2 linked regions of the Rattus norvegicus genome follow. The protein of the gene in region 2 interacts with the protein of the main gene of each other region in a biochemical or structural test. Links are inferred from orthologs where the notes say so. Each region holds a gene or a part of one and is shown on either strand. Other genes may lie near its edges.

What was found.
Region 1: the proteins of Ap2b1 (region 2) and Clint1 form a complex in vitro, tested with the Homo sapiens proteins (2 studies listed by BioGRID and IntAct, with this or other methods). The link is inferred for Rattus norvegicus from reciprocal best matches to the Homo sapiens genes AP2B1 and CLINT1.

The regions. Positions count from the first base shown.
Region 1 is NC_086028.1:30,834,350-30,837,996, forward strand, and holds part of Clint1 (clathrin interactor 1), read left to right. Parts: intron 1-1,097; coding exon 1,098-1,275; intron 1,276-3,647. UniProt on the Homo sapiens protein: Binds to membranes enriched in phosphatidylinositol 4,5-bisphosphate (PtdIns(4,5)P2). May have a role in transport via clathrin-coated vesicles from the trans-Golgi network to endosomes. Stimulates clathrin assembly.
Region 2 is NC_086028.1:68,599,277-68,603,529, forward strand, and holds the start of Ap2b1 (AP-2 complex subunit beta), read left to right. Parts: upstream 1-1,446; 5' UTR 1,447-1,563; intron 1,564-1,615; exon of another isoform or gene 1,616-1,759; intron 1,760-1,957; exon of another isoform or gene 1,958-2,071; intron 2,072-4,253. UniProt on the Homo sapiens protein: Component of the adaptor protein complex 2 (AP-2). Adaptor protein complexes function in protein transport via transport vesicles in different membrane traffic pathways.

The sequences.
Region 1 (3,647 bases), about 38 Mb from region 2:
TTCGCCTCTATATTTGCTGTATTCTGGCTGTGTCTCTCAGGAGCGATCTACATCCGGGCTGCAGTCTTTTCTTTACTCCAGACTCACACAGAGGTTCTCTGATGCACCAGCACCAAGTCGGAGCTGCTCAGAGCATTTATAGTTCTAAAGTGTGAAGATTTGGAGAATTAGAATTTTTTTTAATAAAATTACAGGATTCTTCCCATGCCTCACTCCATTCATTTGCATTCTTGGTACTAAAGGATGTGGTCCTTTCAGCTAACTGGGTCATGGGGCTCAGACCAGAGTTCTTTTAGGGAAACAGTGCTTAAGTGGTTAGTTAGTCAGTCAATTTCCTTCCCTCCTCCTCCTTTGGGTCCATGCGTCTGTCTGCCCTTCCTTCCTCTTTCACCTGTTACTGAGATGGTGATCTCATTGTGTTGTGCTGCACTGCATAGCTTTGGACTCTTGCTCTCAAATGATCACTGAGCTTCGCTCTGGTGTAGTTTACCGTCATGTCTTGCTAGCTTGCTCTGTGTGTGTGCTCACTCCTTCAGCCTTATTCCCCTCCCCTTCTCCCTTCTCTCTGCACCCCCAAACTCGCTTTCTTGCCTTTCTCTGTTGTTTGTTTGTTGGACGCACATCCACTTGTGCAGAGCCTGGGCTGCCCTAGAACTTGCACTCTCTGCCTCCATCTCCTGAACACAGGGGTTATAGGCATGGACCACAGCACATAGCCTTACTTTCTGTTTAAGATATTGTCATTGGCTTATATTTGTCTAAAAATGAAGAACCATTAAGATAAGAATAAAATAGTCATTGAACTCATTGGATGACTTTAGAAAACTGGAAAGATGTTCATTTGTCTTGTGTTTATAGAATGGCTTCTGTATCTACTCCTGTAGCAGTGTTCAAGGGCTTCAGATCTGTCCTGTCCATCAAGGCTGTGAAGTTACCTGAAGACAGGCTTTTGATTGGCATGGGCTGCACCATGTTGTGTTTGTGTGGCACTGTGGGAGATTCGTTTTCCCTTAAAAATAATTTTCTTAGGAGAAGGAAGGACACTGGAACCTTCCAGATTTAATATCCTCAGTTGTTTTTCTTCGTTGTTTACACAGATGAACGGTATGACCCTGAGCCCAAGTCCAAATGGGACGAAGAGTGGGATAAGAACAAGAGTGCGTTTCCATTCAGTGACAAGCTAGGGGAGCTGAGCGACAAGATCGGGAGCACAATCGACGACACCATCAGCAAGTTCCGGAGGAAAGACCGGGAGGACTCTCCGGAAAGGTGCAGGTACGCTGCCTCTCCACCGCCTCTCCACCACTTCTCCACCACCTCTCCACCGCCTCTCCACCGCCTCTCCACCACTTGCTTAAGGGCTTTGCTTTACGCAGCCGTTTGGTTTGGTTTGGTTTGGTTTAATTTTGATGTATTGCTGTTATCTAAAGCTTAGCCTTTTTTAAAAACACACTTTGTTAGAGAAATCTATATGACACAGAAAATTTGATCATAAAGTACAGAAGGCACTACATACCCTTTCTCTTTCTCATGGTTTCAAGATAATTGTGTTACATTTCTTTTTTCTTTTTTTTTCTTTTTCTTCTTCTTCTGCTTTTTCTTCTTTTTTCTTTTTTTCGGAGCTGGGGACCGAACCCAGGGCCTTGCGCTTGCTAGGCAAGCGCTCTACCACTGAGCTAAATCCCCAACCCCTGTGTTACATTTCTTAACTGAAAAACTAGTATTGATAAGCTGTAGTTACAGTGTACAGTTTAGGCTGGAGGTTACCATGTTGAACATGCAGTATTCTCCAGTAACAAATGTCGCCTCCCTGAAAATGCCCTCTATAAAAAGAAAAGTGGAGCCATTTATAAAGTTGCCAGTCACCTAGTTTTATGATACTAGGTCAGCCCTAAGTGCTAGTAATATTGACTCTTCCGAGCGGTCTGCACCTCCTGTCTGTCCCTAACCGTTCTTGTCCTCTACATTTTTCTTCAGGCATCTCAGTCTTGGCCTCGAGATTTTTACCCTCTCTAAAATTTATAATTGTCATCTTACATTTGGACATCAGACGGTTCCATGGTCTAAAATAAGGTGTGGGGGAAGGGGATAATGAAGCCTACGTTGGAGAGAAGGTTAAAGGCTAAAATTTAACTACCTGAGACTTAGTATTGCCGTCCTGTGCTCACGTGACCAGAGCAATCCTGCGCAGGGGTGCACCTGGAGTAGTGGTAGGCACCTGGAGTCGCACAGGCCTGTGTTTATAAGCTTCATCTTCTGATGTAGGACAGTTATAATAAGCTGACATCAAACAATAGAAGTAAAACCTGAGGCCCACTCAGTCTGCATGGACCTGTGGAAAATGAGTTTGTTGTTTGTTTGGGGTTTTTTGTGGTGCTGGTGCTGGTGCTGGTGCTGGTTTTTGTTTTTGTTTTTGTTTTTTTTTAACTAATTAGCATCTTTTTCCTACCCATACATTTATAATAGTTCAGATTACAGTTCATGGGAATGAAGTTCAAATAAAACTATAGCCAGATTTTAAAAAGGTTTCAAAATACCTGTGTTCAGTGTATTCAGTGTGGTTCCAGAGCCATTAAATCTCTAGAATGCCCTTTTTAAGACTTGTAAGGGCATAATCTTTGAAGGAACAGTAGTATCAGTAATAGGAACGTATCTGCTTTCTACCAGAGGCCTGCAGGTGTAACACTGCAGCCTGAGAGAGAGTGTCTAAGTACTCTCCTGTCTTCCCTTATTAATATTCTACACAGGCTCTTGTGTCCTATGTATAAGTTTTTGACCTGACTTGAAGTGGGGGATGAGGTGTAGGGTCTTAGTGATATAGCAGTGTGTGGTCCTACTCTATTTTACCTTCTTCTGATATCCTTAGGGGCTTCTTCTCCTCTTCCTTGAACTCTGCTTGCTTTTTTTTTTTTTTTTTTTTTTTTTTTGCCTTCCTTGTTTGCCTGGGTGATGCTGATGATGGCCAGTCTGAGGCAGGATGGGTAAGAGTTCTACCTCTTTGATCCGGAGAATTCAGATTAAAGATCCGGACTATATTCCAAATACCAGTTGGTGATGTGTGCATGTTGCATTTTCAAGTGTTGGTGAGAAAACAGCATGCTGTAGACAGAGTTACATGTGACTCAGGGCTTTGTGTGCAGCCTTCTTGCCAGCCTATAAGCTATGCTTTCTGACCCTTGATGTATCTAAGTCCCAAAGTGACTTGTATTAAGTTGAGATTGCTTTAGATTGGAGTCAGAGTTCATCAGTGATACTCATAGTTTAAGGGGAAAGTCAAGCATTTTACTTTAGGATATTCATAAATTAAACTGCCTATCCTACAACTAGGGAATATAAATAATGGAACATACTTCAGGTTCTTGTCCCTTGCTTGCGCGCTCTCTCTCTCTCTCTCTCTCTCTCTCTCTCTCTCTCTCACACACACACACACACACACACACACACACACACACATTGTCTTTTCTCTCCCACTCGCCTGCTCAATCCCAGACAAAAACTCAGTGACTTAACATTAGAGAATAGACTCCTTTCATTCCCAGCATGTGGAAATCCTGGATTCTTGCTTCCTAGAGGTTCGCTTTTATAGAGCTTTTGATTGGTTGACTTGAAATGTTAACATGAGTAAAATAATTGTTTCAGAAATATTT
Region 2 (4,253 bases):
CTGGGATTTGAACTCAGGACCTCTGGAAGAAGAGACAGTGCTTTTGACCTCTGAGCCATCTCTCCAGCCCGTTTTGTTTTTCTTTTCTTTTCTTCTTTTTTTTTTCCCCCGGAGCTGAGGACCTAACCCTTGTGTTTGCTAGGCAAGTGCTCTACCACTGAGCTAAATCCCCAACCCTTTGTTTTGTTTTTCAAAGACAGGGTTTCTTTGTGTAGCCCTGACTCTCCAATTCATATTGTAGACCAGGCTATCCTTGAACTCACAAAGATTCACCTACCTCTGCCTCCTGAGTGCTGAGGTTAAAGGCTTATGCCACCACACCTGGTTACCTTGTTTTTTTTTTTTTGTTTTTGTTTTTTTTTAATATATAACAATTTATTTATTTTATGTATAGAAGTACACTGTAGCTGTCTTCAGACACCAGAAGAGGGCATCAGATCTCATTACAGATGGTTGTGAGCCACCATGTGGTTGCTGGGAATTGAACTGAAGACCTCTGCAAGAGCAACCAGTGCTTTTAACCACTGAGCCATTCTCTCCAGCCCTGCCGTGAGTTTTAAGTTTCAAATCTGGGGGCTGGAGAGATGGTTCAGTGGTTAAGATCACTGGCTGCTCTTTCAAAGGACCTGGGTTTAGTTATCAGCTCCCACATGGCAGCTCACAGCTGTCTGAGATTCCAGTTCCAGGGGACCGAACACTCTCACATACATACACGCAGGCAAAACACCAATGCACATTAAAGATGTTCAATAGTAGAGTGAGGGAAGCCTGGGTAGGAGAACCACTAAGCCTTACTGTCAAGGTATATATATAGATAGAGAAGTTCAAAGTGCTCTAGAGGCAGAAGCAAGAGGGGCTTAGTTTCAGGCTTGCTTGAGATACACAGCCCAATGCTGGTTTTTCTTTTTAAACACCAGTAGTACCAGTTTAGTTTCCTAAAGAAACCTGTATCCACTAAGTGTTTTGGGTACCTTATACCACGCAAGCCTACGGGCGAGGCAGGAAGGGGGCGCTAATAAGTTTCTCCAGTCTTGTACAACGTAGGGATTCAAACTCAGATCTGAATACTTCTTAGCATCTTTGAGTCGCTAACTCCTAGTTCAGCTGCCCACCTGTACTTCTGGTTTCTATCACCTCTATGGGCTTCTGAACCTTACATGCAAATTAGCCGAGGTTTGTGTTTAAGCATATAGGATATCTCACACAGGTTTAACAAAATTCTTGTTCATGGAAATAAATCAAGAAAATATCTACGTATTGAAGATATCCTTTGGAAAAGCCACTGCGGGTTTCCTTAGTCTGCCCTAACCCTGAGAAAGGTAAACCTTTCCGTTGCTGAGGCGACAGACACAACTTGGCTGTTTGGTTCTCCCGCGCACCCGGATGACGTCAGGCGGCGAGATTCTCTTACGCCAAAACTTCCGGCCCACCATCTTTGTCCCTGGCAAATTGGGTTTTGCGCAGTGTCTTAGATCTAGAGAGAATCGTGACGGGCAGGAAACCATTACACCACCTTCCCGGCTGTGCTCTCTGACTGCCGCCGCCACCCCGCCCTTGCCTCCGGTGAGTTCAAGGCGGCTGGCTTTGGGGTGTGTCCCTGACTGGGGGTAGTTGTGAAGGAAGGGAACCCCAAGCCGGGTCGTAGGCGCAGGAGGAAAGGAGAAACGGGGAGCGTGACGGTTGAGGATGGAGGGAGTCCTCGGGTGTGACCGTTGTGAGGGAAAAGCTTGGAGAAAGTACCTCTTTCGTAGTGACCGTGGTGGGTTGGGGCTGAGCTCCGGTGTAGCAGCGATAGTTGGGGGCTTCAAAACGAAGCAAGGTTCGGAAGACCGGCTTGGGTAGGGCTCAGGCCAGGGGTGTGGCCGCTGGAGGCCCAGGGAGAACCACCTAGATTTCCCGTTTGGCATCTGTTCATTGAGAAAGAAGCTTGGACGTGTCCGTCCAGCACGCCTAGGGAGAAAGGATTCCCGCGACCGTTTGGTCACTGAAACCTCCGTTGTCACCCGTATTCGGAGGCATCTCTCCTTATCCTGGACAGTTTTCTTGACCGGGTCTTGACCTGCGGAGGGAAGTGGGTAAAGAGAATAGGGGACTAAATAATGTTCTTCGAGAAAGGAAGGAGAAACTTGCGTAATTGACCTCCTGTGTGAGAGGGGGAAGCCAGTGAAAGTAAATCTTAGCCTGGAATTGTTTTTCTTTTTTTAGCTCCCTTTATTCCCCGGGGTTATTAGGAGCAGTCTAGTTTGGGCAAGGCTGTAAAAGTCTACTAGAAGTGAAAAAACTGGAATTTCCTGCCATTTCTTTATTCTTTGAATTCTCAGGATGTATTAGTATTTTGAGCAGCCCTGTTTAGAGGAAGGCTCTTATTAAACTCAAGCAGTTTAGGTATGAAGCAGTATGAATCTGTCATGGATGCTTCGCTGAATTTTTTTTTTTTTTTATCATTTAGAAGGGAGATTATTTTTTTAAAATGGCCAAACTCTTTTGTGACCTTTGTGGTTTAAAAGACAAAGGACACACTATAAGCACAGCAAGGCAAGTTAACTGAAAAGAAGGTGGTCTCAGAGAGGAACAATCTAAATTATCACCTGCTTTCCTTGTGTAGTTCTACTGCTCAGCCTCAGGGTGCACTTACAAGGTATTAATAGAAAGCGGCAGGTGAAGTAGGTGCAGCCACCAGTAACACATTCCCGGGATGACTAAGTGAGGCGGGCGGACATGTAAAATGAGAGCAGAGTAGGTGTCTTGCAGGGGAGACTCCCTGAGAAATAAAGGGGAGTGTGCTCTGCAAAAAAGCTCCCTAAAGTTGAGTGGTAAATTAATACAAAGTAAACATTCTGAGAAAATAAGACTCAGAGAAGTCCCTCACATCCCCTTCCCCTGTAAAAGGTCATTGCTTTCCTCTTAAGGCACACATTTGAACCAAGTCAGACAGGGAGCATTCAGAGGACATCATCCCCATTTTTCTTCTTTCCTCCTAGGCTTAGGTTTCCCCAAATGTCTTGGAATTTCATAACAGTTGGGTGTAAAACTGTTGGGCTTCTTTCTTTACGCATAATACTATATTAATGAATTAACTTGTAGTTGTTTAAATAGAAGCCAGAGGTGGATTTAGCTTTTAAATGTTTTATTTCTGATAAGCTAATTAATCTGAAGCTGCTATTGTCCTGGTGTTATGAACATTTTAGCCAGAAATGGTCTTCATACCACTCATCCTTATAAGCAGAGGTTCCTGGAATGTCACTAATGCTTTGCAGTTTACTGAACTCTGGCTAGTTATTGACTTCATGTGCAAAGAAGGGCATAGTGGCCTTGCCAGTGCTAACGTTGGCTGCCATTTCCCAGACAACTACTTGAAATTAAGACCTTACTAATTTGTTTCTGACTGTATTCTACCCAGCCTGTTAATCTTGGTTTGCTGTTGAGTTGCTCTTTGGGGAAATTGGAGGAGGGGAAGGCTGGGAGGAGAGAAAGGACGTTGACAACCTATATTTGGCAGAAACTAGGTTATGTTAATCTAGATCTATACCCTTGTACTGTGAAAGGCAGTGAAGCAATACTGTGGGCTAGGACAAGTTCAAGGATTACTGCTTTGCCTGGTGGCTGCTCTGTCCTTTAACAATGTCCCTAGGCCACACCTTAAGTCAGTCAGTGACCTTTCAGGTTTCATGTTGTATAAGGTGGTGTAAGTTCAAATTCCATTGTGGCTTGCTTATTTCTAGGGATTTCCTGAAAAATTTTGCCCCAGTAGGATTTTGAATTTTGAAGCACTAGGCAAGTTGAAGTTGTATTTTTCCAGTTCTATTGTGGCTTTGTGTGTGTGTGTGGTTTCTACTGTGGGCACCAGTTTTACACCCTATACTGGAGAATTTGACTGAATATTTGGCAAGTGTTTGGGAGGGTCTTTATTAAAAAATAGTTATATGAATTGTGAGTTGAGAGTCACAGGGACATTAAGGTTCTGTCACTACCACTCTTTCTCATTTTAATTAAATACTTAAAATTCATACAAATATATAATGTGTTTAAGTCTAGGCTGCTCCCCCAGCCCCCCCAACCCTTTCTTTCTACAGTGCTTTTGTTTAGACTGTTTTCATTCTCCCTTATCCCCCACACCTCTGCCCCCGCCTTAAGGATAGACTGGATGCCTTGTTTTTCTGCCTGTATGATGGCAATTATTTCATCACAATTATTGACTATGGTGTCAGTTAAATGAGTGATATATTTACCTGCTTTTTTTTTTTCCTTTTTTT